Cricetulus griseus: one gene and its partners. The protein of the gene in region 1 interacts with the protein of each later gene in a biochemical or structural test. Links are inferred from orthologs where the notes say so. Each region holds a gene or a part of one and is shown in the gene's direction. Other genes may lie near its edges.

What was found.
Region 2: the proteins of Ubxn2b (region 1) and Ppp1r7 form a complex in vitro, tested with the Homo sapiens proteins (2 studies listed by BioGRID). The link is inferred for Cricetulus griseus from reciprocal best matches to the Homo sapiens genes UBXN2B and PPP1R7.
Region 3: the proteins of Ubxn2b (region 1) and Ppp1r11 form a complex in vitro, tested with the Homo sapiens proteins (2 studies listed by BioGRID). The link is inferred for Cricetulus griseus from reciprocal best matches to the Homo sapiens genes UBXN2B and PPP1R11.

What each region holds. Positions count from the first base shown.
Region 1 is NC_048595.1:154,300,939-154,310,766, reverse strand, and holds the start of Ubxn2b (UBX domain-containing protein 2B), read left to right. Parts: upstream 1-3,373; 5' UTR 3,374-3,435; coding exon 3,436-3,519; intron 3,520-6,323; coding exon 6,324-6,427; intron 6,428-9,828. UniProt on the Homo sapiens protein: Adapter protein required for Golgi and endoplasmic reticulum biogenesis. Involved in Golgi and endoplasmic reticulum maintenance during interphase and in their reassembly at the end of mitosis.
Region 2 is NC_048595.1:444,807,753-444,817,578, forward strand, and holds the start of Ppp1r7 (protein phosphatase 1 regulatory subunit 7), read left to right. Parts: upstream 1-4,878; 5' UTR 4,879-5,011; coding exon 5,012-5,063; intron 5,064-7,718; coding exon 7,719-7,847; intron 7,848-9,826. UniProt on the Homo sapiens protein: Regulatory subunit of protein phosphatase 1.
Region 3 is NW_023276806.1:228,770,280-228,780,141, forward strand, and holds Ppp1r11 (E3 ubiquitin-protein ligase PPP1R11), read left to right. Parts: upstream 1-3,700; 5' UTR 3,701-3,858; coding exon 3,859-3,927; intron 3,928-5,389; coding exon 5,390-5,498; intron 5,499-5,827; coding exon 5,828-6,030; 3' UTR 6,031-6,980; downstream 6,981-9,862. Other genes in the region: Polr1h (DNA-directed RNA polymerase I subunit RPA12), read left to right, coding at 1,430-1,454; Rnf39 (RING finger protein 39), read right to left, coding at 7,666-8,246, 9,491-9,582, 9,794-9,816. UniProt on the Homo sapiens protein: Atypical E3 ubiquitin-protein ligase which ubiquitinates TLR2 at 'Lys-754' leading to its degradation by the proteasome.

The sequences.
Region 1 (9,828 bases):
TGGCAATCCCACTGCTTAGAATACTTTGCTTGGAGCTATACTTCAGCTAGGAAAAATGTTGAAACTTCTGCTGTTGGCCACAACATCTACTTCAAGAGCCCTTGTTCTAGTGACCTTCAGATGACTAATATCCAATAGAAATTAGATGATGATACCATAAGGAACAGAAGCAAAAGGCGGAAGTTTGGAGGAGAAAGAAGAGGGTTTGGGGTTGAGGCAGCAATGTTTCTGAGACATCCAAATGGAAATATAATTTGAAAAAGCAATTAGGAATGTTGGTCTGGAGTAATAGAAAAAACTGGAAAAATAGGCGGGGAAACTCTAGATACAGTCAATCTGCATTATTTGAAAAGTGCATATATACAGAATTATATACTTAATAGAAGTTGCTTTTCACCCCAAAACACAGACATGTTCAGGGAAGCAAATATTTAAGTTGCTGAATGAATTTATTTCCAAAGGATGTCAAACAAGGTGACACTCTGCCTTTTCCAGCTCTTCCTCTGTAAACAAGTAACCCTTTGTGCAGTTTACTTAATGCCACATCCTTCATATTCTGTGCTTCTCTGATGGGAGTGTCTTTCAGTATATGTTTTTCTTCTTTGTTGATGAATAAAACACTGATTGGCTGATTGGCCAAGCAGGAAGTATAGGCAGGGCTAGGAGATGAAGAGAATTCTGGGAAATGTAGAGCCTGGGAAGAGACAGCCTGGGAAGAGAGGATATGCCAGGCGTTCTCCAGTAAGCCAAGACCACATGGAAACACATAGATTAAAGAAATGGGTTAATAATTAAGACAGAGCAAGCCAATAAGAAGCCCAAGACACCAGCCAACAGTTTTATAATTAATATAAGTCTACATGTGCTTATTTGGGGTTGAGGCGGCTGCAGGACCAGGCTGGCAGGAAAGAAAATCCAGCTTCACTTCTCCTTTGGAATCTATGTAAAGCTGCCTGCTAATGCAGTGCTGAAGTAATGTCTAGTGTTCCTAAGCAGATGTACCTTCAAGAGAAAACATGTTAGGCAAGCTTCCTTCAAGAAAGAATTATAGTGCTGGGGCTATGAGATCAATGTTAATGAAACCATAGTATATATTAAATAAGGTGTCTTTACACAGAAACAGACATATAGCAAGGTTATGCATCAGTTAGCTGATAAATATAAACAGAGGCTCCAAGGACATAACCTTGCATCTCTCAACAGCAATAATTCAGTATTCAATAATTTAGTGTTCTTATCAAGTTTGTGGAACACAACTGTGGATAATGAGAATCAGTTGTAAATGCATGACAGGCATAAGAATGGATATACAATAAAAACACATACAGCAAAAAAAAATGAAAAAGAAAAAAGAAGAAAGAAATGTCAAAGCAGAACCTGAGGGAATATCATTGCTTAGGACCTGGATGTTGTTGAGGTATGGCCAAAAGAACAATAATGAAGGTAGCAAGGCGTCCTTGAGGAGTTAACTTGATGCAGTCTTGCCAGGAGCTACAGAACAGCTGGAGGTGGAGGGAGGAATGGGTGGTGATGGTGTCAAGAGAAAAGTATGAACTTTTGAGAATAGTGCACCTGAATTTAAAACTTAATTCTGGGGCTTATTAACCTAGTGGCACAAAAATACATCTTATTTCTCTGTTCCCCACTTACTTCCATGTTACAAAGACAATATCTAATCCAGATGGCTATTGTAAGGAAATATACATGGTCTGTGCAAGCCATTGAACTTACCAAGGGTAATTATACTCCATTCTATGGAACGGTTTAGAATCAAGATAAAAAAAAATCTTTCAACAGATGAAACAAAGCCATTTCTGATCCTGACCTCAGTGATGTTCGGCATAAGTACAATTACACACATACAGGGTTTTACTTAAGTTATAAAGTTAGAGTTGTCTGTACCTGATGAGGATGTCCACTTATTCATTTTATTCCTTTAGAATCTATCTCACACCTACATCTCCAATCTAGGGCTCTCCTGACCCATGTTTTCCCATTGTTAAACAACCATGTACTATTTGTTTTTTGACATGCTACTTCCAATATCTGTGTCTTAGAACACATCTTTCTTTGCTTGTCCTTCCTGATCTGAGGTCTGTGGGAATTACTTCTTCAAGGCTCCACATAAAAAGGTATTGGCTCTTTGGGTCATTTCTTGTCAAAGAAGTAATGGGACCATTTTTTTTGTTTGTTTGTTTTTTGAGACAGGGTTTCTCTGTGTAGCTTTGGAGCCTATCCTGGCACTCGCTCTGGAGACCAGGCTGGCCTTGAATTCACAGAGATCCCCTGCCTCTGCCTCCCGAGTGCTGGGATCAAAGGTGTGCGCCAGCAACACCCGGCTAATGGGACCCTTTAAGGCAGAATGTGTATTTAGAATATCAGGACAGCACTACAAGGTATGGTAGTTTGTACTGCTAGTTACAAGGTGAATTTAACTATCATTTGCTTTGCTCAAATACATGTGGAATACATTAAAATGGAGGAGGAGACGTCTTCCTTTACTCTCAGAGTCTCAGCTGGGCCTGAGAATGAAACCGAATAGATTCACAGGAGAAAAAGGCACAAATTTTATTGAAAAAATTTTTTCATGTGACTAGTGTCTTCATACGAACCTGAAGGCCTATGTGGATATATTTTCATACCAGCGGCCATCATGCAAAATTGGCTAGGATGTGGGTTTAATTCTAAGAGGTCTGTTATAGACCTCTCCATTTCAACTTCTCTAGATGGTAAAATTTGCCTTTTTTTTTTTTTAAGAACATGCCAAAGCAACACACTGTAAGCTGGTACGGCAGCACGATGCACACAGCGGGTACCAACGGATTATTCTCCATTCACATACAGGCCTTCCATAATACTGTTTGCAAAGCTTATTTACAAATTTATTCTGTTACCTGTTTATGTCTTTCCCTCACTAGCTTTTAAGTTTCATAGAGGACCGGACTTCTTTTTTCTACCTGGGAAATCCTTGAGAGGTTGTAAGTGCCTAGGATAAGACAGGAAAGAACTCAGTCAATCCCGCGGCTTAAGAGTCACCATTTCATTGCCAAAAGCTTCACTGTGTTCCTCTTCCTCCACACGGTTCCACGCGGAGGGATGTACCATCCAATCCTTGATAAGGGAAAATGAGAGATTGGACCAAGACTTGCAAGGTGAAGCTGTTGAGTTAAACGAATCAGCAAGTCAACGCTGCGCTCTAGGACAACCCAGCAAGTGGCAGTGACTGCAAACAAAGACTGGAAGGTTGGCAGGACCGGAAGCCCAAAGCGAAGGACTGCAGCCTGGTGCGGGAAAGGAGCGAGGACTGACGTAAGAAGACACGGCTCCGCCCCCTCCCGGAGGGGCTGGTCACCGAGAGGCTCCGCCCCTCCCAGGTCGCTAAGCAACCATCCCGGAAGTCGCGAGTCCGGGGCGGGCGCCGAAAGAGGGTGGAAGATGGCGGAGGGCGGCCGCGCGGACCCTGAGGAGCAGGAGAGGGGGTCCTCGAGGCCACGGCCCCCGAGTGCGCGGGACTTACAGGTACGGAGGCAGGAGCGCGGCGCGGGCAGGAGGGCGCGGGCCACAGCCACGCTGTACCTCGCCTGAGGAGAATGATTACCAGCCAAGGTCTCTCCCGGAGGCACATTGCGGGGTGGGGGGCGTGGAAACGGGTGCCCGAGCGGCAGGCGCCAGCACCTGGATCCCCTTCGCCACGCACGGTGCACCAAGTAGTTGTTTGGAATGTCATTTTGCGGGGCCATCTAGGTGGCTCCCGGTTGATGCTGCCTGCCTTCTGGAGAGTTACCATGGCCTGTGATAAGTCAGCCATCACTTAAAAAGTAACTTAAAAATAACGCATGTTGATTTGTTCTCTTGGACGAGCTTTCAGATTTGAAGACTTACACATTAAAAACAGTCCCCCCCCCTTATCAAAAAGCTCTGGTTTTTTAAGGAGAGAGCTTAAAACAGTTCAGTCCGTGGTTACAGCCCACTTATAAGAGGTAATCCATGAAACAATGTAACAGAAATAAAACTCGGTATATTGTGACATTGACATTAGTCAGCTGAACACTTGCCCCCTAAATAAATGCTGTTTTATCAGATGCTAACACTACTTGCTCATTTTAGGCATTGTTCTATCTCCCCATGAGATCACTGATAAAATTGAGTAATTAAACGTATGTTAGGGTATGTTAGGGGTTAAAGGTAAGAATAAATGAGCCTGAATTGTCAAACCTTGACAGAACATTTTTAATACCTAATCTTCATTCTTTAACCAGACATACTGACCACTTGCTGTTATAACTTTCTGCTCAAGCTTTGGAGAATTTGGAGATAAATAAGGCATCAAATCCATAAGTAGTAGTGGATACTGTTGTGTGGTATCCACAGATTTGAAACAGGCTTGTAAACTAGCTTTAATAGACCAAATCAGTGCAAAGTTATAATGGTATTGAGCATTGGTTGGTAGTTACAGGCGACCCCGAAGCCACTTAACTTGTTGTCTTAGTCTGGGTTACTATTGCTATGATGAAGCTCCATGACCAGAGCAACTTGGGGAGGAAAGGATTTTATTTGTCATAGGCTTCCATATCACTCTTCATCATCAAAGGAAGTCTGGATAGGAACTCAAGCAGAGCAGAGACCTGGAGACAAGCCTTAGAGGGGTGCTGCTTAACTGGCTTGTTCCTGATGGCTTGCCTAGACTGCTTTCTTATTGAACCCAGGATCCCTAAGCCAGGGGTGACACCACCCACAGTCACTACTTAAGGAAATGTTCCATCTTATGGAAGCATTTTCTCAATTGAGTTGCCCTCCTCTCTAATGACTCTAGCTCTGTTAAGTAGTGAAGGGTGACAGATGACTGTGCTGGAAGATAGTGAAAACAGGGACACTGACAACAAGCGTTGGTGGCACACGCCTTTAATCCCAGCACTCAGGAGGCAGAGGCAGTCCCATCTCTGTGAGTTCAAGGCCAGCCTGGTCTCCAGAGCAAGTGCCAGGATAGGCTCCAAAGCTACACAGAGAAACCCTGTCTCGAAAAACAAAACAAAACAAAACAAAAAAAAGACCTTGTGGTGATGAAATGGACGTGCCTGTACTTTACTTACATGAATCTTTCAACTGATTAAATTTATGTCTTTAAATTTTGGTAGGCATTTAAAGACATAAAAACTAAACTCAGCGATGTTCAGTAATCCACCGAACTTACACAGTAAGTGCCTAAGTTAAGGCTTGGATCCAGCTGAGTGAGAACAAGGGGGTGTATGAACATGGGAGGGAAGAAGGGGGAGATGGTGGAATTATATTTTCATTTAAAAAAACATGATCATGCATTAGACCCTGCCTGGGTTCAGGTTGCAGCCCTGGAAAATGACTGGCTAAGTTTGCCTCATTTATTTATTCATCTTTTCCTTCTGAGGTAATAATACACAAATAGTTACTTGGTGAGGGAGTGGGCTTGTTTGATTGTAAAGTGGGTGGGAGACCAAAGATCAAAAATCATACCGACTGAATAGCCAGTGGGGAGCATTAAGGAAATTTCTTTTGTTTTGCTTGTCTTTTGAATCAGTCTCTCTACACAGCCCCGACAGTCCCCTCACTGTGTAGACCAGGCTGGCCTCAAAAATCACAGGTATCCTCCAGCTTCTGCTTCCCAAGAGCTGGGATTAAAGGCATGTACCACTATGCCAGGCTGAAAAATTTTAAATTATTGCCCCAAATAGCAAAAGTGGGGGGGGGAACCTGTAATAATCAGATTAATATTTTAAATTCTGTTTCAAGGACAAATATATTTTTACTTTATTTAGAAGGTATTCAGCTACATATCTGCAATATGTAATTTTGCATTAAATGTTATCTCATTTTTTTTAGCTCTTTTCTCTGAACTTGATGAAATTTATGTCTGATAAACTTTAAAGCAGTACTTTTGAGCTTGTTTTATGTTCTTGAGTTTTAAAAACAGCTAAGTGAAATTATATTATGAGATTGATTTAGAGAAATTGGCAATATTGTGAACTGTCCTCAAAAGTTCTTTAAAAGCTGGAAGTTACACAGATCCAAATGTGAAACCATTGTGTTGCCAAACTCAGTTTTTGAAACTGTTGAATAGTTAATTAAAAGAATTATCATAACAAATTTTCTCTGGCCCAAGGCAGTTTGAATAATAGAATAGTGTGAGACTTCGGGAGTTGCTCGTTTTGGAAAGACAACGTTTGTGGCAACAGCCTTCAGTTTTTCATAGAAAATTGTTAATGCTCAGTTTCAAGCTGGTACCTGTTCCTTGGCTGTCTAGAAGTCTGTTTCCATTGCTAACTGAATAACAAGCCTGTTGTTATGTGTAGTTGGCCTTGGCAGGATTATATGAAGATGAAGTGAAATGCAAGTCTTCCAAGCCTGACAAATCTACAGCTGCAGCCTTTAAGAGCCCAAGAACATTGCCGCATCGGTGAGTGTTGCCCCCAGACTTCTACCCTCTTTAGCCCACTGAGCCTAAACTATTTTAAATGACCTTGAGGATTTTTAAAATTAATTTTTAAAAAATAGATATGGAGGTACTATTGCAAAATTTTTATAGTTAGCTAAAAGAAATATTTTGAAGAATTACCTTGGTGTCTGATATTATCATAGGCACCATATGCAATCCTTTTTCTCAGACATGATGGCTCTTTAATGTTTGTCCTCGGGCTCACTGAGCTCTGGTGAAATGTGCAGACCCTTCCAAAGCAGCATTCATGTGCAGTCTGTCAGTTGAGGGCCAGCGGGTTTCTCACTGCCATGCACGGGACCTATAGGAGTCTTTAGTCCCCCATTGAAGAATCTGTAAATCCTGAAGTTTCTGTGATGTGATACCTAGTCTAACAGATGACTTCCTGGATGTATTTGTTGTCATTAAGATCTCTGAACTATAAAAACAACAAACTAGAGGTTTAGAAGAATCACATATATTGTTATTGTGAATATTTTTGTTGAGTTTTCTAGTATTACAGTAGAGAGCAAACTTAAATTTTCTTATCTCTCATTCTCAAAAATATAATTTTGTCAAAAGTAGAAAAATTAAGTGGACATTAGGTTTTTGTCACTTCACATTCTTTTTGTAGGGGAGACAAAAATTATATCTTCCTGTACTTGAATGATAAGCAAAATCCTTATAATTTCTCCCTGTATTTTCTTTTAGAAATTATAAAGCCCATAGCAAACGTAAAGGTTAGGAAAATGAATAAACATTAGCTATTTCACTTTTATTCACCAGTTGTTAGTGTGTCAGAGCATTGCCCTCATTCACGCATCCTGGCTCTTTTTTACTCAACTATCTGAAAGCAAATTATACCTTCATGACATCAACTTCTAGATATCTTCCTGTGCATCCCCTAAGAATAAAATATATAACCTAAATAATAAAGTATAACCTGAAAATTAGCAGTGATGACATGATGTCACTTTTTTCAGTCACCTTTGGAGACCCAGCTAGATACTACTCATTGCATTTGAGTTTTCCTGTGTTGAGTTTTGAATGCAGGGCATGCTTGCTTCTTTTTTACCTGTTTTTAGCTCACCTACATAATCTAAACTTTATTGCATAATCTAAACTTTTTAAAGGAACCAAATGTCTCAAAATGTGCCACATTCTAGATCACTGTTTCCTCATAATTAGATTCTTGTTAAACATTTTTGTCAAGAGTACTAGATAAGTGACACTGTCTGCTTTTTATTATGTCACATCAGGAGCCATATAATTCCAAGTTTCCCCACTCTTGGTGATATGCTCACTTGGTTAAGGTGCTGACCACCACATCACTGCATTGTCAGGTACAGTGTGTCTTTGTAATCAGCAGGTTGGTATCTCGGCATGGTTTGACTATACTATCCTTTCACTTAACTCTCACTTGCAAGATGTATGAGTAGATGTAGATGTGTGTAATATTTTAGTTGCCTCCTTAATGTCTATATCCCCCCCTCAAAAAAATATTTTTCAAAGATTTAATGTGTTTCTGTACCTACGTTTTACTCATTCAGTAGTGGAGTATTTAGCCTTTGGCTCCCTAGTTTGAGCTCATGAGAATGACTTAATTTTGCTCTCAGTGCAGTAAACTTAATATTCGAATTTTTACATGATTGACGAATTTTTACATGAGTGACATGACTGTCACCCTCGAGCAGGCAATCCTCCTGCCTCAGCCTCCCAAACATTGAAATTTCCAGAGACTGATAGCACCACCACACCTGGCACACTGGCTTTTTACGCCAACTGCACTGGTTAGTTTTTGTCAGCTTGACACAAGCTCGACTCTAACTTGAAAGATTGCCTCCATCTGACTGGCCTCTAGGCATGTCTGTGGGAGCATTTAATTGATTAATGAATTATGTGGCTGGTCCAGCCCATGTGGGAGGTGCCATCCCTGGGCAGATGGTCTTACTGTATAAGACAGTATGTTGAGTAAACCATAGAGACCAAGTTAGTGAGTAGCATTTCTCCTGCTTCAGTTCCCACCTCCAGGTCCCTGACATTACCCCTCTCAGTAATGGCTAACCCCTGTATAATGTAATAAACCCTTTCCTTCCCTGGTTTGCTTTTGGTCAGTTGAAGCTAAATAAAACACCAACGAACTTTCATTTTCAGAAATATTAGACATAATATTGTCTATGTGTTTAGCCTACGTGAAGTGTGTAATCTGTCGAAAACTTTCAGGACAGTCCGACAGCTTCTTTAACAAATTCACTCATGAGAGGTTGTATACCAGCAGCAGAACTTTGGGCATGTCCTCTACAGATCATTCTTTATGTCAAATTGTACTCAGAATTAAATGACATGAACTGTGTGATATGCTTAGCATGGGCCTTAAACAATTGCTAAAATCTAAGTAAGCCCCGAAGGTCTGGGACAAAGAGGCATGGAAGAAAATGTGATAAAAGGGCAGGAGAGGGCAGAAGGAGAAGCTGCAGAATTAGTGGCCAACAAGAGATGTTGGATAAGTAGAAGCATGGCCGGGTTGAGCCTTGTGGATATATCACAAGTCTCTACACTTAGGCGGCCATGTGCTGGATTAAAGGCTTGGCTCCTTAGTGTATTTTGAGTAAGATAACTTAGATATTCATTTTGTAGTTGGCCCCCATTATTATGTTGCATTCATTTAAAATGTCACTGAAAGGCTAATGTGCATTAACGTTCACTCAGTAAAAAAGAGATGTAGTGACAAGACCTCTGCCTCTAAAAATAGATGTCCCCCATGTGTATGTGCTGTGTGTGTGTGTGTGTGTGTGTGTGTGTGTGTGTGTGTGTGTGTGTGTGTGTGTGTTTTATCCTGTTTTCTCATCTGGAAAATGGGGGTCATTTAGTTATAAGAATTGATGAAAATGTATTTGCCCTTTGATAATATTAACTATTAATCATTTTAGGAAAAAGTATATCCCTTTAGAAAAATAAATGGAAAGTTAGTACGATGGGGGAAAAGAAAGAGGTAACTTAGCTGGGGGTAGTCTAAGGGACAAGAAGTAAAGTTAGGTGATTATGCTGGAATAAAGGAGAGAGGATGGAATTGCTCTCATACTTTCTAAACCTTGGTTATAGAAACTTTATGACAAGGACTACAGGGCATGAGTAGGAAAGAGACAGGTTCAGGACCTGTGGGAGAACTGTGCTTGCTGACGAGATGTATTCAGCAAGGAACTGAGTAGCCTTCATTCATGCAGAACTGCTCAGTGGGTACTTTGTTTTTTAAGGTCTTTACAAACTTTTAAACATCAGTAAGTTAGGGCCAGACATGGTGTCACATATCTATATTCCCAACATTGGGAAGGTAAATGCAGGACCATCAGAAGCTGAAGGTCAGTGTCACCTAGTTCAGTTCA
Region 2 (9,826 bases), about 290 Mb from region 1:
GGACATGGTCAATTTCAGCAGACCAGGAAATATACGCCTGACATACATGGGAAATCCAGGAGGGCTCCCCCAGCACAACTGCACCAAACAGATAACATGGCCTTCAAGTTACCATGTAAAATGAGAATAACAGTAGCTCACACCCCATAGTACTCCTGCAGGATTTCAAGAGCCAAATTAGAACTGAGACCAAATGCTTAATTACTGGGATGTGTTAGTTTTAAATAGTTAAATAATTTAGAGTGAGACTGCATCCTATGTCTTCCTCTAGGTGAATTTAAGAACAGAAGATAAAAATTCAAGACAAGGCCGGGCGTTGGTGGCACACGCTTTTAATCCCAGCACTCAGGAGGCAGAGGCAGGCGGATCTCTGTGAGTTCGAGGCCGGCCTGGTCTCCAGAGCGAGTGCCAGAATAGCTCCAAAGCTACACAGAGAAACCCTGTCTCGGAAAAAAAAAAAAAAAAATTCAAGACAATGTCAGAGCCAGCATGATGGCTCAGCAGATAAACGTGCTTGTCATGGAAGCCTGATAACCTGAGCATAATCCCTGGAATCCACATAAAAATGGAACAAGAAAGCCACCTCCACAAAGTTGTTCTCTAACTTCCCCTTGTGGACCTCCATACACACCTGTGTATGCATACATACATACATACATACATACACACACACCATATACACATATAATAACAAAATTAAAATACAAATAAAGTGAACCTTGATCCAGAAAGAAAGAAAGAAAGAAAGAAAGAAAGAAAGAAAGAAAGAGGAAAAGTCAAGGTTAGGAGCACGGTCTGAGCAACCCATTTATTTTGTAACACCCAGCATTCACCAAGAATGCCATTCCATACATCTCTGAGACATTGGAAGGAAGAACTTCCAAAAGGTAAAAATGAAAAGACCTGAAATCAGAGGAAAGCTATCTTACAACCCCTAAAACAGGACAGAGACTCCAGTAGAGAGCCAATGTGACCCCAACTCCACAAAATATTATGTCCTAATAACCTTCTCAGAAGCAAAGAATGCCAAACACAGGCCGAAAGGTTTTCAGAATTACATGTATCAAATATGTGTCCAGTCCAGCAGACTTACCCCTGTTTGATAGGAGGAGTGTGGATTGAGGAAAGAAATAGATAAGAAACAGAAGACAGAGTCAGGAGGGCATCCAGCAAATACCGTGATCAGCCCCAAGTTTATTGCTCCAAGTTCTTATATACCCCAATCAAAAGAGGGGAAGGCAAAAGACTTCCTTACCAGAATACAAGGAACAAACAAATGTAATTACCTCCTTAACACCCAAAATACCAAGTAACCACACCCTAAACCAAATATTCAGTTGTTTAGGTAAGACATACAATAACTACTCCTTAGGCCAAACATCCTGTGGTATAACCTGAAGGAGCAGTAATAGGCTCAAACTCAATGACCTAAGTCAAGACGGAAGGAAGCCATTTCTATGGGCCTCCACAAATATGCTATCTTCAAACCAACTGAGAAGGAAAACTTCCTGAGAGGGTACATTGCAGGGACCAATTTAGAGAAAGCTATCCACATAAGCAGCAAGATAGACAAGGACTATTCGGGCCAGCATGGTTTGACAAAGGCAAGGGCTGGTAAACCAGTCAGGAAGAAAGGCAGGTACCTAGGCAAAAAGGAGAGAAGGGAAGAAGGGAGAGAGAAGAAAGAACAGCAAAAAGAAAATAAAACTTAAATGCTCATGAAGAAGAAAGCTATGGTATAATCAGCAGTGAAAACAAGGAATTGTACAAGAACCAATCTTAAACCAGGAACACACCTGCTTTTAATCCCAGCACTCAAAATGTAGAGGCAGACAGATCTCTGTGAGTTCAAGGCCAACCTGGTCTACAAAGTGAGTTCTAGAACAGCCAGGACTGTTACACAGAGAAACCCTGTCTTAAAAAAACAAAAACAACAAACAAAAAGAATGAATCTTAGCAATATAAGACATGAGAACCTTCCCACTACAAAAGATTACATATAACAAGATTCCTTTATTTTAATATAAAAAACCTAAACACACTGCTTAAAAAAACAGTTTAACAAGACTGAAAACCCAGACTTCAGAAAGATGGTTCCCTTGAATCTGGAAGAGAACTAAAATTAGGAGGCAAAATGGGACAGCCTTCTACTTCCTAAATTGGGTTTAAATGTGTTTGTTTTAATTTCTTTTAATACTTCTGTGTGTGTGTGTGTGTGTGTGTGTGTGTGTGTGTGTGTGTGTGTGTGTGTGTGTGTGTGTGTGTGTGTGCTGGAGCCTGAAGAACTCAGAAGAGGCATCAGATTCCTAGGAACTGGAGTTACAGACAGATAAGTCACCATGTAGATGCTGGGAACTGAACCCAGGTCTTCTACAAAATAGTAAGTATTCTTTTTTGTTTGTTTCCGTAACAGAGTTTCTCTACAGCTTTGGAACCTGTTCTGGAACTTGATCTGTAGACCAGGCTGGCCTCGAACTCAAAGATCTGTCTGCCTCTGCTTCTGCCTCCTGAGTGCTGGGATTAAAGACGTGAGCCGACACAACCCAGCCCAGTAAGTGTTCTTTACTGCTGAGCCATCTCTCCAGTCCTCAATTTATTTCATAATGATGCAATGTATTTTTATTAAATGTGAGTGTGTGAGTGTGTGAGAGACAGAGAGAGAGAGAGACAGAGACAGAGAGAGACAGAGACAGAGAGAGAGACAGAGAGAAAGACAGAGACAGAGAGAGTGCCTATGTGTGGAGGCCAGAAAACAACTTTCAGAAAGTCAGTTCTCTTTCTACCATGTGGGTCCCAGGTATCAAACCCTGTCAGCCTTTGGCGGCAAGTGCCTTTACCCCCTGAGCCAAATTGCTGAGTCCAAACTGTTGGGCTTTATTTACTTTTGTTTTTTGAGGCAAGGTCTCCAGAAGCACTGCAAGTGCTGGGAAGACAGGAAGGCACCATCAGCCTGGCAATTGTTATTTTTGTATGGAGGTGAGTGAGTATTAAACTCAGAGCTATCCACATGTTATGCAAACCCTCTACCACTGACTGATAATGTGTAATTACTATTTACTTCATTATTTTACATGTTACATACACAGGCACATACACTCAGTGTGCAATTCTAAAAAGCAACAGTGCAATATGAAATAAAAGTAGCAGCCGGGCAGTGGTGACACATGCCTTTAGTCCTACCACTCAGGAGGCAGAGAAGGCATATCTCTGAGCTCGAGGCCAGCCTGATCTACAAAATGAGTTCCAGGACAGCCAGGGCTACATAGTGAAACCCTGTCCCAAAAAAACAAAAAAAGAAAAAGAAAAAGAAAAAGTAGCTACATAGAGCATTCAAAGCTATATAACCCCACCTTGTCTCAAACAAAATAAAGATATGTATGAGATAGGAATTTTTAGAAAGCATGACTTTCCTTCAAGTAGCAGTTTTAATGTCAAAGGTGTACTTCTCTAGGTATCTAAATGCACTAATTCCTGCTATAGCAAATAAGGATTGGATCACACTGTGGTTTTCTGCTTTTAGAACCAACCTATAAACAAAACTCAGGACACCTAATTATGTCTCCCTAATACACTGCCAGTGTCACCAAACCTTGCTTTGTTTTTTCGAAGTTGTATCACTTCAGCATACAATGCTATGAAACCTTAATTTATAGAAAAAAAATACCATTCCTCAAGCTAAACTGTCAATGCTACAAACTTCTATTTTAAAAGTCATACAGGAACTGTGGAGATGGTCCCTGTGTGACAAGTTCTTGCTATGCAAACATGAAGACCTGCGTTTTCATCTTTAATCACATAAACAGCCAGGCATGGATGCACGTACCTGCAATCCCAGCATAGGGGGTGAAGATCAGTGAATCCCCAGAGCTCACTGGCCCGCTAGCCTGACCTAAAAAGGGAAGCTTGCAGTTCAGCCGGGGCACTCCGGAGCTGGCGGCTCCCTGTGCGCGGGTCAAACGGCCGGAACCCGCCAGCACCCGGGGCCGGGGCCGGGCGGAGGGAGTGCGGCGCGCGAGGGAAGGGCCAGAACCGCTCCACGACAGCGTGAGACCTCGCCTGGCCGGCCGCCACCCGCAAAAGCTCTTCCGAACACTGGCGTCTCACCTGAGCCCGGCGATCGTCCCCCGACGGATTCACAACGTGAAGATCCCGCGCGCTGCCAGCCCACCGCCCAATCGCAGAACGACTCGCGCAGAGTGACAGGGGACAAGAACCAATCAGACACGCTATGGGCGGGCCTCGGTGAATGCGCGCTGCAGAGCGCGCGCAACGGTTGCTAGGGACTCGCCGGACGCTCGCCCTACCGCGCCTCCGAGGAGCCAAAAGAGACCGACGTCTCTGCCCCACGCCACGGGGCTGCCGTTTACGCCCACGGCGGACCGCGAACGGTGAGCGACGCGCGGCCCGCCTTTTCTGTGGAGGGTGAGCGGAAGCGGACGACACGGGGGTTCATCGTGGGCTGCAGGCGGCGAACGTGCCCTCCCCGGCCGGACCGCGGCCCCTCCCTCCTGCTCCGAGCATCCGTGACAAAAAAGCGGCCCGTGGCGCCAGTAAACCAACGCGCAGGCGCGGAACACAGCGGTCTCCCAGGGCCGCCGGCCCCCGGTGCTGACACACATCGGCGAGGCTCCCGAGGTCGGGGATACGAGGCTAACCTGCCTCACCTGTGGCCTGTAGCGCTCTCCTGGCCGCAGTACCTCCTCCGCGCCTCCGAAGTCGGCACGGTAACGTGGGCGAACCCGCAAGCTTGAGATGTCTGCCATGCTGCCTGATGCTTTGCCGGGAAGTCGGCTTTCGCCCCGCTCGCCTAGACTCCACGCAAGCCTCAAACGCCTAGCTCAGGTGGAGCCGGGGCTTGCGGGAACTACAACTCCCATGAAGCACCGCTTCCACGCAAGCGTGTCAGCTCGCGCTTCTATGCTCGCTTCTATTGGCTGGCTGACAGGGCGGGGAGTTCTGATTGGCCCTTAGCCTGAGGCGACAGATTCCGGAAAGGGGAAGAGCAGCCAATATGGCGGCGGAGCGCGACGGCGGGCCGCAACAGTCGCAGGAGATGATGGAGGGTGAGCGGCCCCTGCGGGCGACCAGGAGGCGGCGAGCTGGGGGCTGGGCGGGCACGGCCTCTTGCCGGATCGGAGCTCGGCCTCCAGCCTCCGGCCGCAGCCACGGCTCTCTGACAGCTGCCTGCTGGACTGGAAGGGGCGGGCGGGGGGGGGGGGGCTCGGAGCCCGGGAGCCCCGGCCCGAGGGCGGCTGCGGTCAGGAAGGACCAGAGCCCCGGGAACAACGTGGCGCGAGCTCGGCCAGCAAAGGGGGGCGGGCGAGGAAGCCGCGGCCGTGGGAACCTAATCTAGAAGCTCCGAGATTGACAGGCGAGGGGGCAGGGGGACTGTCCTCTGTCAGCTCCTTGGGAAACCGAGGTTTCGGGCGTGTGGACCTGCCAAGTCCATAGTTTGTTCGCGCGGCATGCATGGAAAGAGGCTGCTCTGGAAGCGAATAGCCTGTGGCAGAGCGATGGGTAACAAGGAGGTCCGCTGATTGCGTTTACCAGGCGGTGCCTTGTTTTCTACATATTCAGAGTCTTGAAAGGACTAAATTCAACTTTCTTCCTTTTTTTCACTGTTGGATTGTGTCATTATATACATATATAAGTACATATATATATATATATATGTATATATATATATATATATATATATATCACATGTGCTTGTTTTGTACACAGTTGTGTAGATACATAATCGTGTGTATTTATGTGTACATATAGGTGTGTGTGTGCGTATATGTGCATATATAGAGACACACTCCTATACCCATTGTAGCATCAGGCAGATCTGAACCCTTGAATGCCTTTTAAAGACTGCTCTGTATTTCGGTGAGGGTTACTTCTGGAAGAGCAGTCACGCAGTCACTAGTGAAGAGGGTTGCAGAGCAAGGGGCATGGGCGTGGAAGAAAAGTCCAGTGTGTTTGGGAGTGGCCATGCTGCCCTGAGTTGGGCCGTGAAGGATCACTAGAAGTCATCCAGACTGGGGACAGGTGGGGAGGACCAATACCATTCCAGAATGGAAACCCAGTCAGAAGCAAAGGAGTATGGAAGAATTTGACCTAAATAAACTGTCATATGAGGTGGGGGTTGGGAAGAGACGGTGAGACTTTCTAGAAAAGGTCTTGGAGAGTCTTAAAGGGAGTCATACTGGTTTGTTTTGTGTTTTGGGGTTTTTTTTTTTAGTTTTATTTTGCCTTTGAATCTTTTCTAAGCAAGAAAATGCTTCTTCCTCTCCCCTTCCCTCCTACAGTACCCTCCTCCCCTTCTTCCTCTGTTTTTCAGTAAAGGGCAAATACAAAAGCCAGGCTTTCCTCTCTGCCACTCCCACACATGTCACTGCCAGCTGACACCTAGTTTCCAGAGCCCCATGTCTTTTGTGGGTGTATTTTGTGGGTTTGGATGTTTTTTTGTTTTTTTCTTTTTTTCTTTTTGGTTTGGCTTGGCTTTGGCTTTTTGTTTGTTTGTTTAAGATAGGGTCTCACTATGTAGCTTTGGCTGGCCTGGAGCTTGCTATAGACCAGGCTGACCTAGAACTCATAGAGATTCACCCACATCAGTTTGCTAGAGTGCTGGGATTAAAGGAATGTGCCACCATGCTCAGTGAGCTACCTGTTTTGTCACCTTCTCTATCACAGCCAATACCATAACTCAAACCTTCCTCCTCTTGATTTTATGGCCTTTTTGCTAGCCTGTCATACCTAGGCCACACAGTCACCTTCTTGCACACTGCCCCATGCTCTAGAACCTTTCTGCTGTCCTGAGGATAGATGCACAGGTTGCACCAACTGTCCCTTCTGTCTTCTGGGTCCTCCTGGGGGCCATGCAAATACCAAACAGAACCTAGTTTCCCTAATCCTGGATCACAGCTGGTCCTGTGTCTCTTGGGAATGCATACATTCTACATGTCATGCACCCGAGCCACTCTTGTGCCCTTTCTCTTTTGGTCCTGACGGCGGGGAGGTACTCCACAAACTCTTCTACAGATATGAATACTGAGGTTTAGGAAGATCATTTGCCAAAGCCACCTTTCATTGTTGCTTTCTTCGTAACTCAAAACCTGTTTGTTTACTCTAAAAAGCTTTGCATTGCTAACACTCTGTCCTGTGATCCTTTAACATCAGCAGTTTACCTAGGGCATTTGGCACTTTTGATACATCCTCATTTTCATTGGAGCTCCTCCCTGCCCACAGTCTGATTTTAGCTAGTCTTGATTGCTTTCAGAATGTGGGCCTATAATTTGAACCAGTTTTGGTCTTTTTGTTGTTGTTGTTGATGTAGGTATATGGCAGAAGGTTCACAGTGGTTCCCTCTTGTTCTTGTGGTGGATATCAGGTCAAATGTGAGAGCCACCTGGAAGGTACTTCACTATGTGGTGCCATTAGTGTTCCTGATCCCAGATCAGGTCCAGGGGCTTTTAGAACACTTGGCAGTTCTTTACAAGCTCTTGGAGGGAAAGGACAGCATGTCAATTGTGCCCACGTGGCCTCCTGGTTCCTGTCTCTATATCTTAAGTAATGTTGGGACATAGAAGACATTCAAATGTTCATGTCAACTGAATTTAACTATTTCAGAAAGAAGTCTTGCTGACTTACAACTTGTGTTAATCTGTTCTATATTCCTCAAATTGTCGAATGAAGTGGATGTGAATTCTCACTGACGTGTATGGGTTCAGTCGACAGGCGGGTTGAATCTGAAGAATCAGGTGATGAGGAAGGGAAGAGGCACATCGGTGGCATCGTGACAGACCTCAGTGAGCAGAGTCTGAAGGATGGAGTGGAACAGGAGACGGAGGACCCAGAAGGTACTGGGCATAGTTAACCTTGAACTCCCCATATAGTGGGAAGTGTGCTATTAAGATTGCTGCTGCTTTGACATGATTTCTCCTTGTAGGAGTAGTTGTGTTCTTCAAAGGTCCCAGTAGATTGGGCAGCTGGGCATGCTGGCAGAGGGCAGCCGGCTCTCTGGGGTACTGCCTCATCAACTGGCTGATTTACATTTATGGGTGCAGCAGATCCATTTCTGCTGAAGGGACAATACTACAGCTGATGACATTGGCACTAGGTGATGATTAGCACCAAAGCGGAAACAGAAAATGATTTTTAAATCCTTTACTCAGAAAACAAAATCTGAAGAGAATAATGTGGTGGTTAACTGCTATACTTATGTATCCTGCCACAAAGATAAGAAATCATTTCTGATCCAACCTCAACATTGCTTTTTTGAGACAGGATCTCACTATATAGCCCAGGCTGGCCTCAAGCTCAGAGATCTGCCTGCCTCTTGAATGTTCAGATTACGGGTGTATGCTTGTTATGCCCACAACCACCTTGATGTTAATATAGGCCTGAGACTCACTGGAAAATCACTCCATTGGGAACTAAACAGCTTCCTGTGATGGTTTTATACCCTCCTCAGTAATGGCCTGTGCTAATGTGCTTGCTCAGTAAATCAGTTTACATGGAAAGGAACGACAGAAAACATATAACCACCGAGAAATGTCCCAGCTGAATTGTTGGGGCGGGGGATTTCTATGTAGTGTGTATCTTGCAATATGATTTTTAGTTGAAAGCATGAGTATTTAGTTGTACCTGCTTAAAGAGAAAACACAGTAGCATTGCTGAGGATCTCTTTCAACAGCAGGCTTGAGGGGAAGCTGCCTCTTACACTTTCCAGATTTGTATGGATTTTTCAGGTATTCATAATTATGCATTACCTTTATAAAAATAAATTTGTAAAAACATAGCTACTTTTTAAAATAGCACTGTGCACTGTGTGCCAGCAAAGATGATTGGTAACTATGGTAACCAAATTTTAAGGCAAAAGGAGATTACCACAAAAAGTACCCACCACAAGTTTGGAACTTCAGAGCTGGTATTCTGGGGGTGATGTGGGTGCATAGAGCAAGGGCTCTGCCGTCATCATTTGACTCAGTCACAGAAAGGCTGAGGTGTGCGCCACTGAAGAGTTAGGCTACCTGGAAGTCTTGGAAACCAGAGTGCCGTGGTCCTGAGCGTCCTTTCCTGGCTGGCTATGTTACTGTGCTAGGTAACTGCTGTAAGAGGTCTGACTCTAATGTGTGATAGGTGAGGAGAGGGAAAGGCCCATGTCAGCCAGAGATCCCTACTGCAAGGCAGGCCACTTGGGCTAGAGCCCAGCTTGCTTGAAGTCCATGTTCTTGCTAGATATATAGTAATTCTCTGGGAACATGTATTTCTCCTCCTTAAGGAAACTGGAACTGCTCACTCACACTTACGTTTACTTAAGTTGCAGTGTAAAATATTCAAACATGTCCATCATTACCTTCCTATTTTTCCTAACGTGTGTGTGTGTGTGTGTGTGTGTGTGTGTGTGTGTGTGTGTGTGTGTGTGTGTGTGTTTGTGTGTGTGTGTGTGTGCGCGTGTGTGTGTGCACATGTTCACATTTGTGAAATGTATGTGTGCATATAGATTCCAGAAAACAGGTCAGGTGTTGTTCCTGTGCTTGCAGAAACCCTTCACTAACTAACCTGTCTCCCAGAACCACCCCCCTTTTTTTCCTTTCGGTACTAAGGATTGAACCCAGGGCCTCCTCACACCTGCTATGTAAGACTTTACAGCTGAGCTATGTCCCTAGATCCCTAATTTAGAAATTACAACTATGATACACTCAGAAATTTGTTCCAGTTGGTAACTCTATTCCAGATTAAGCTGGTGTTTCAAGTAGGACAGTAACAACCCATGCTGGATGCTATATTAGACAGAAAACTTTGTACTGTGCATCACATATCCTAAGAAGCCTAG
Region 3 (9,862 bases), on another chromosome or scaffold:
TTTCCCCTCCCATTTCTGTTTATACTGTCTTCTGGGCACTTCTCCAGATCTTTCCTGTAGGTCATTAATCTTGACTCAATTTGTATGTGTGTTTGGTGGTGAGAGTGTTGTGTGGTGTTCATGTGGATGTATGCACCTATCTGTGCAAGTGTGCATATGAAGGCCTAAGTTAGGCATTGAGTAGTTTCGTCAAGTGTCTTTATCTCAGCCTTCCTTTTTGTTTTGAGACAGGGTTTCACTATATTCTTAGTTGGTGTGGAACTCTGTGTAGACCATGCTGGCCTCAAACTCACAGGTACTCATCTTCCTCTGCCTCCAGAGTGCTGGCATTCATGGTGTGTGCCACCACTTCCAGCTCTCCACCTCATCTTTCGAGGCATTGTATCTGAGCCTGGAGCTCAGGCTAGGCTGGCTACCTAGTGAGCTTTGGACGTTCTTCCTGTCTGTCATTGTCCCATGCCTCCCAGCTTGAGTGGAGTCCATTCTGTACATGGGGACCGTGACACCAGAATCTTCTCTATTTTTAAATGGGTGCTGGGAATCCACACCCAAGTCCTCATGTATGTGCAGCAGACACTTTACCTGCTGAGCCTTCTCCTCAGCCCCTGGGTTATTACTACTTCTTTTCAAACCTCATGAATCATCTGAACAATGTAGCCCTTTAGTCGTTATAAAACTTCCAACTACTGTATTTAACATTTATTATTTTATGTGTATGAGTATTTTGCTTACATGTATGTCAGTGCACCATGTGCATGCCTGGTACCCACAGAAGTCAGAAAAGGGTTTCAGATTCCCTGGAACTGGAGTTACAGATGGTTCTGAACCACCATGTGGGTGCTAGGAATAAAACCTGGATTCTCTGCAAGAGCAATGAGTGCTCTTAACCACTGAGCCATCTCCCCAGCTCCCACTGATTTTAAATCGCTCCTTTTGTTCTTTAAATGTATATGAAACATACTAAACATGTTTATCTGAGTGTGGCAATTCTGATAGCCACTGTTTTTTGTGGGTCTGATGTCATTTCTGCTGATTTTCTTATGGTAGTTCTTAACTTTGTAATTTTTGACTGTATGCTATGATTTTAGAATTTGAACTTCTGGTTTCTTAAGGTCTGGGTGAATGCTGCATTCCCTGCATCTGTAGGGTTCTACAGATGTCCAGCTACAACGTCTCTAATTTTTATGAGGTCTAGTTTATCTTTTTCATTTTCTTGGCTGGTGCTTTTTCTGTCCTGGAAAAGAGTTTTCACACTTCAAGGTAATAAATAATTAGATATTAGTTACCTGGAGGTTAGAATTGAAGGTTTGTTGGGAGGAAGCTTACCCATCCCTGTCATAAGAAAAAGTCCTCCAGGGGTTTCTATCTCATATTACACTGCTAGAAATTCATTTTGGTTAAATATAACAAGTCCTTTCTTTCTCCCTAGGTTTCAGGAAAAGGAAGATTCTTGACCTTTTTTTTCCCTGGCAACTCAGCAACACCATTCCTCCTCTTGGAAGGTGAAGATATTGGTCCTTTGTTGCCTTCTCCTTCCCCGCTGGTGCTTTGTTCTCAGCATAAGATCATCACCCCCAGAGCACTCCTTCCCTTAGTTGAATTTACTAAAGTTATATTTTCTATGGAACCTTGGCATTATGTGTGTTATTTGTAGTCTTATTCTGGCCAGGCTGGTGGCATATGTCCTGTGATCCCAGAACTTCAGGGTGGAGGCAAGAAGGTTTCAAGCTTAAGGACAGGGAACTTACTATAATGAATCAAAGCCAGTCAAAGCTACCTAACAAGATGCCTAAAAACCAAAAATAACAATAATCTGTCTTATTCCAAAGGAAATTTAAATGACCTAGAATATAGCTTTAAAAAAAGAACAACAACAAAACTAAGGATAAAATAATGGAGTCTGGAATGAAGCTGTTATGTGTCTGGGGTCACTAAGAGAATCACCATGACCATAAATAAATTTTAATAAGAGGCTTTATTAAATACTGATACTGGATACTCATGGCACAAGGACTCCAACCAAAAGTGCTCCCAAAATGTAGCTTCTAGTTACATCAGCCCAAGGCTTATAAAGTCAAAAAATGGCAGGATTACATGTATTCTATGTGTAGGCAGGTCTGATTTTAACATACATGTCCTACAGTTGTCCTAGCCATTGAGCAGAGTAAGCAAGTTTGATTACAAAAGCAGAAATAGCAGTTAGTTTTATGACTTATTGTCTTGCTAAAATGGCAAATTTGACAAGATCTGTCAATTTAAGAATAGTCTTTACAGAGTGGTTGTGGTGCATGACTTTGATCACAGCACTTAGGAGACAGGGGCAGGCAAATCTCTTGAGTTCAAAGCCAGTCTGTTCTACAGAGCAAGTTCCAGGATGTCCAGGGCTACACAGATAAACCCCATCTGGGGGGGGGAAAGGAGTGGACTGGTAGGTTACAGCCTGTACAAGCTAGGGGCTTACACGTTAACAGGCTTTTTTTTTTTTTTTTTTTTTTTTTGGTCTCTCAAGCATAGTAACTCTAATTGTAATGTTAACCATTACAAAGGCAAAAAAAAAAAAGCTGTTAGACATATGCATATATTCTATCTAAATCTAGTTCCTCATTGTAAGGAAACAAAATATTTGGATAGGTAGTGTTGCACGAAAAAAATAAAAGACCGAGAGACAAATATTGGGGTTCAAGCTGAAGATCAGGGAAGCAAAGCAGCCAGCCACTAGCTCTCACCTCAAGCTCAAGCTGAAAGGGCAGATCCACACACGAGCTCTTCACCAAGCCTCAAACTGCTGCCTCTCCTCAGTGTGGCTGGAGAATGAATGCCTCCTACTGAATCCTGAAGACCCTGATTCTATCTTCTATACCCCTCTAGTGCTGGGATTAAAGGTGTGTTATCTGTCACTCTTTTAGACCGATTCAATGTCATGTATCCCTGGGTGGCCTTGAACTCAGAGAGATCCATCTACCACTTAATCCTGAGTTTCAGGACTAAAGGTGTGTACCACCACCTCCTAGCTTCTGACTGCTGGGATTAAAGGTGTGTGCCTGGCTTCTATGGCTTGTGGCTGACTTTGATTCTGAATCCTCAGGCAGGCTTTAATAAATCATAAATAATATATCACTGCAAGTGATTCAACAAAATTTAAGCAGATGTCTTTGAATTTGTTGCGGCGCCCCCCACAGCCTAGCCTTGGTATTCTTCAAACTGGGAACTAGAATAACAGGGAATACTTTTATTTTAGGACCTACCACGCTGGGAAAATTCCAAATTTAGTGTGCTCTCCCTCCCAGACTTACAGAGAGAGGACTAGAACCCAGTGCGTTTCCTGCTCCTGGAAAACGGTTTCTCGACAGAATGATAAGAAAATGGAACTTGGCCGAGTCCCACTTACTTTCCCGCCCAGGTTTATGGGTACAGCTGACAGGGTTAGGGGTGCTGAGCACACAGATCGCACATCCTCTGCGCTCCGCAGCTCCGGAGTTGACTCTTCCCCCAATGAACTTAGGCCCTGAAGGAGCTGGCCCCGCCCCACAGTGACGTCACTTCTGCTACCTGCGGCGTCTGCGCAGTGTTAGAATACGGCGGAACTGATCTGGCGACGCCTGCGCTTTTGCCCGAGCCGTGCCGGTGAAGGGAAACTGGGTTCTGCAGGATGCGTCACACCCGGAAGTGAAAGGCCGGAAGTGGGATTGGACAGGTTATGCCCAGGGGTGGGGAAGCAGAGGCCCTGGAGGAAGGGAAGAATAAGAATCCAGAGGTTCCTGGCCGCTACTCTGAATCGAGTACCGGATCTCTTAGATCCCAGAAGCGCAGAAAAAGGGAAGGGTGTCCCATCCCGCTTCCTGGCTTTTCGCTTTAGCCATGGCGGAGGCAGGGGCCGGGCTGAGTGAGACCGTCACTGAGACAACGGTTACCGTGACAACCGAGCCCGTGAGAAAGGCGGGCGGGGGGGCCTATTTAGGGGTCTGGGAGGAACTGGGAGGGAAGTAGGGCTTTGGAAAGTTGGAGGGTTTGGGATCTGGGACATGTGGGGATGACTCTTGGGAAGATCGCCAGGGACTGGGGATGCTTGGAGTGGCTCAGATCGTGATAGTGACCAGTCAAGGGACGTTACAGTCAGGGTATAGGTGTCACGGCTTGATGCGGTGGTCTGTGTACGTAATAAACGGAACCTGGGTTAAGGCAGCAAGGAAGGTCCTGGGAGGGAAGGAAAGGCTATTTGAGAAAGCATGGTTTTGGAGGCAAACGTAAAGGACGAGTACTTAACCAATAGATAGTCATGGAATGGGTGCGTGTTAAAGTGGGGGGCAGGGAATAAGGAAACAAAATAAGGTGAAGGTAGTATTTTGACAGATCAGAGAGGAGAGACGCAAATAAGGAAACAAGTAGAATTTTGCAAAAGCAAGTTAAATTGCTTTCAAGGGGAGGAAGATGGGTTGGGCGTAATGTCTGGGTTGAAGGAGTTTAGTAATTATTGCCAGAGATGCCAGGATGTTAGAGAATGAAGGCTTTCTTTGGAGAAGAAGGGTTTTGGATTTTTGTTTTATTTTGCTTGTTCAGGTGTGGCAGGGGCAGAAGTCAACCTTAGATTTTTCTCAGGCACGGTGTACCTGTTTGTGTGTGTGTGTGTGTGTGTTTTGTTTTGTTTTGTTTTGCTTTGCTTGTTGATTTGAGAAAATCATTTTTCCTGGAGCTGCCAAGTCAGCTAGACTGGCTGTCAAGAGATCTGCCTGTCTTCACATCTCCAGTACTGGTATTACAAACATGCACCACCACTACACCTAACTTTTTTTTTTTAAATATGGATTTTGGGAATCAAACTCAGGAAGCACTTTACCAACAGAACTGTCTCGGAAGCCCTGCTTTATTATTATTTTTTAAATTTTTATTTTGTTTTTGAAAGGAAAAGCTTTACCACATTGCAGAGGCTGGCTTCTGTTGGCTTCTGTCTCCGTCTCCTATATGCTTAGCTCACATGCTTCTAATCTCTTTAGCGGGAACGTAAGTAAGAGGTGTGGAGAAAGGAAGGAAGGCCAAAGACCAGTCACAGGGAACTGAGAAAATAACTCTCCGGTATTGGCACCACCAAGGATGATTTGGAAGGAAGATGAAGAAACAGGGAGGGTTGTGCTTTCCTTTGGAGATTTACCGGCACCTTCCCTAGGTTAAGGACTGTCCTTTTTGCATACTAGTAGTTTTCAAGAATAGGAGTTCACATTCCTCATGAAAAGGTTAAAAACATGGTCTGTTTTGGCTCCCAGCACCCGGCTCCTCCAGTGGCCTGGTGTATGGTACTGATTGAGCAAGGGAGGAGAAAAGAGGAGGTACCTTGGGAAACAGGAAAGGTCAAGAGGAGATTAGCTAGATGGGCCCATACCTCTTAACCTTACAGGAGAATCGGAGCCTAACCATTAAACTTCGGAAACGGAAGCCAGAGAAAAAGGTGGAATGGACAAGTGACACTGTGGACAATGAACACATGGGGCGCCGCTCATCAAAATGTGAGTGCTGTTGCCCCAGCAGCCCTCACCACTGCCTCCCAGACCTTTACGGTTCTCTTTACTTTCTTGGGAAAGAAAATAGATGGGGATAGAGCTAAAACTAAGAGTTGCCAAGTCTGTGGAGCAAGCCATGTCGGAGTGGGAGAAAGATGCTTCTGGGTCTCTGAAGAGACAAAGAGTGTGGATGCCAGAGTCCCTGGGGTGGGAGGCTTAAGGGGCATGGATTCTGGAAGGTGGGAGAAAAATTGCACATAAATCTGTTGGAAATGAAACAGACTGGACATTGTGTTCCTCATCCTTCTTAACTGATTTCCTCTCCCTACATCTAGGCTGCTGTATTTATGAGAAACCTCGGGCCTTTGGTGAGAGCTCCACCGAGAGTGAGGAGGATGAAGAAGAAGGTTGTGGTCACACACACTGTGTGCGGGGTCACCGCAAAGGACGGCGTCATTCAACCCCAGGACCCACTCCAACCACTCCCCCCCAGCCTCCTGACCCATCTCAGCCCCCTCCAGGACCTATGCAGCACTAAATCCCTCTCACCATGTGTCTGCCTGGCCCCAAATGTATCCATCTGGCTACATGGGGATTCAACCCATGGTCTGATCCCTTCTCCTGCCCCCTCCTTCCCTCTCCTGCCTGATAGAGAAGAGGAAGAGGAGGGTGGATAGAGATCCTGGAATTCTGACTTGCTGCTGTTCCAGAACCCAGGCTTCTGGGTTCTCCCAGCCTCTCCTTCCCTACAGTTTGCTCTGTGCCTGGGATTCAGGCATCTTGGTCTCAGTCTGTCCCTTTTGTTCTCACTGCCAAAACACCTGTCCTGGGATCCAGTTATCTTGGCCACCTGCACCCTTAGCTTGAGTCCCAAGCATTTAAATTGGGTTTTCAACCATCCCAGCTTTCACTGCCAGGACCCCAGTCAGATTCCAAGCAATATTGCACCCCAGCTCTGCATATTAATCCTGGCTTACAGTTCTTCCACTTACGAAGTTATCCTAAATCTTAGTCCTTGCCTGTGGGAATCTAAGGTTTTGGGGACACCATAGGGTTCTGCTCTTACCCCTTCTGACCCTCAAAAGGGTCAGAACCTATAATGGAAAGTGGACCCCAAAAATAGTCATGACCTGAATATAGCATTTCTGAGCTGGCTGAGACCAATGACTTAGAGCCTACAAGTTTCTCAGCCTTTAATCTTTGAGCTTCATCGCTGTTGTCTAAGGGGCCTGGGTCCCTTAAAGGAAAGAGGGAGAAAGCAGAGATGAGGGAACAGGCCCTGCAGTACACTCCTACCCTTTCCTGCCTGATGTCTCTGCCAGCCCAGGTGTCTTGCTCTCTCAGCCCTCCCCAACTGGTGCTGGGATCTGGGTATTGTCCTCCAGGCCTCTAGCTGTGCACAGTACAGAGATCAGCAAAACCCATACCACCACTGAGATCTCATTTATTGCCACAGATGCACAAAATAAATAACCCAACATTGCGCAATGTGTTAAATACAGGTCCATTTATACACATGGGGAGGATGGGAAACTATACAAGGATGTTTGGGATGCCTGGACTGCTCCCAGATTGAGAAGGGGGGTAGCACCGTCGGTTCTTTTGTGTGCAAGATGGATTTCCAAGAGGATGTTTAAAGGGAAGAGGCTATGAGCATAGAAAACAGTCATAGAAGAAGTATAGAGGGTGGACTAGCTTGCATACACATCCCAAAATTTATATTTTAGGTTTTGGGTCTGAAGGGCTTAGGTTATGAGTTGATCATCTTATTTTAGGAGGACCTATTTTTCTTGAGGGGAATTCAGGCTCCAGCCTTCCTACTGTGGATCAGGCCCTAGCCCTTTATGATTGGCGATAAATGTGGACTGTTTCCCAGTACTGGTGGTATAGAGCCTTTCCCTATCCCTGCCTGGAACGGTACAGAAAGGGAACTCAAAGAAAAGGTTGGGTTTGGGCATGGAGACGCAGGACCAGACTGGCTTAAAGGCACGGATGTACAAGCCATTTTGAGGTCTTGCTGTGGGAGAAAGAATGTGAGTGGGTAAAGGGTGCTTATTAATGCTCCTGCTGCGACAGGTGTACGGACAAGATTACTGAAATAGGTGGAGATTTCTGCACCAGAGAGAAGTAGCCTCCAGGCTAAACTAGGGTAGGAGGTAGGGAACCCAGACACTCAGCCTTCTCCAGGCACGATGCGCAGTGGGGAGCGGGGATCACAAGTACAGAGCAGCGGGAAGACCCGCTCCCCCAGCGGTCTGGGCGCCTGGAAGGCGAAGAGCAAGTCCAGTGAGCGGCCGTCATAGAAGGCCACACGGCCCCGCTCCCAGTCCAAGTCCACGCGAATGCGCTGAGGCGGGGGCCTGGCTCCGCCTAGCAGAGTGGGCTCTGGGGCCGTGAGTGCCCATAGGCGGCCGCCACGGCCCTCCACGGCCCAAACAGCCTCGGATGGGCACAGCTTGATGAGGCCCTTGCGCGTCACCGATTCCCCGGCCGCGCCCACGGCATAGCAGCTCTCTCCTGCATCCTCATTCTCCGAGGCAGAGTCTCTGAAGGACGCGCCCTCCACGGTCTCCACCTCCCAGCAGTGGCGGCCTGACGCGAAGCCCTGGGCACCCAGCACGGCTAGGAGCTGATCGAAGCGGGCAGGGCTGTCCAGCGGCTCTGGCGTTCCAGGTGGAGCCAGACTCACGCCTCGGTTGTCAGAGGAGATGAGCAGACCACGGTGTGCAGTGCGAGGGTCAAGTGTCAGATCAGCTGCAAAAGAGAGGCCGGGGAACACCACATGATAAGTTTCTTGAGTCCGGCCAAGAAGGGTGGAGAAGAGACCCTGTCTTAAGAACAAAACAAAAGGCATAAACCCTTGAATCTAAGCATCTGGGTGGGGTGCAGGAGCCAGGTCAGCAAGACTTCTGAGGGAGGCTGAAACCTGATAGGAACCAAAGTGATTGAAGGAGGGGCAAAGGGAGGACTCTAAGGTATCCAGTAAAACCAGGCCACTCACCCTCGCAGAGGCAGGAAGGGACAGGCCCGTTTCTATAGGAGATGCAGCCAGAGGAGAGACAGAGATGGCCAAAGGGACCAGAAAGAGCCACTGACTTTATAGGTGTGGGAGTGGGGGAGGGGAGCTTTAAGGAAACACTTCTGGATTAGGAGCTAGAAGTAATTTGGATTAAGTGAGATGAATGTGTGACTAAGGGGTAGAGCATCTTCTCCAGGCACTTTAAAAACAAATGGAGAGCTAACTTGGGAATGGGCAAAGGGGTAAGAGATACTGGACTCTCCGGACCCTTCTCAAGAGCAAAGGGAGAGGGTAGAAGCAGGGGTTCCTGAGAGCGATCGGGTACCGTTTAGGTGTCCACAAAAGGATGAGGGAAAGTGGCCGAGATCTGAGGAATTAAGGATGATGTTCTGAGTTTAATCCTGCGTCCCGCCAGGTGTGGTGTTACATACTTGTAGCCTCTGCACATTAGAGGAAGGTTAGAGGCAGAGACAGGAAGGAAGGGATTGACTTCTACACCAGCCTGGGAGACACAGGAAGACACTGTTTAAAAAGACTGGAGAAGTTTCACTTTTGTTACCCAACTTTCTGAATTTACTCTACGTGGGAAAAGTATTTTCACAAAGGGAATCAGGTAAATACTGAGACCAATATTCGGGTGGGCCCTGATGCAGTATGACCACTACCTTAAAGGGGAGAGGAGACACTGAGACACAGACAAGGCACACAGAAGGAACCCCAGGTAAGACTATATATGGGCCAAAGGAGTGCTGAGGCTTCCAGAACCCAGGGGAGAGGCATGCAACAGATTTCTCCTGAGCCCTCACACTTCTACCTCTATACTTTGAGGTGTGGATGGTTGCTCAGTTCACCTGTTGTTGGCACTTTGTTATTTCAGCCCTAGGACATCAAAACCGATACCAAAAGGGGCTTCACCATTTCTGACAGTTGAAAGGAAGCAAACAGCACACATTACGTTCCCCTTCCCTTCCCTCCTCACCTGTCAGTCTGTGAAGCATGTTCTTTACCACAGGGTAATCTTCAGGTAGCTCCTCCCCTGAGTTAGATGACTTGGGTGTTGGGACATCAAATCTGGACAAATGAAGGAAGTTGTCAGCATTCTTGTGTCTTGATGCTAGTTCGGATGACCCCAATCCTAACCCACTTGCTCTCAACAGAAACAGGTGAGGCTATACTCCAGAAAGCCTATTGGTAAGTGGAGACAAAGATCTGGCCCTGGAGAGGAGGTGATGGCTATGGCAGCAGGCAGTTGAAAGGAAGAAACGGTAAAAATGGAACTCACCGTCTCCATGTCTTCCTCATATCCTGGTATGGGCAGAAGAAAAACAACATGGGTGTGAGCATCAGGTTC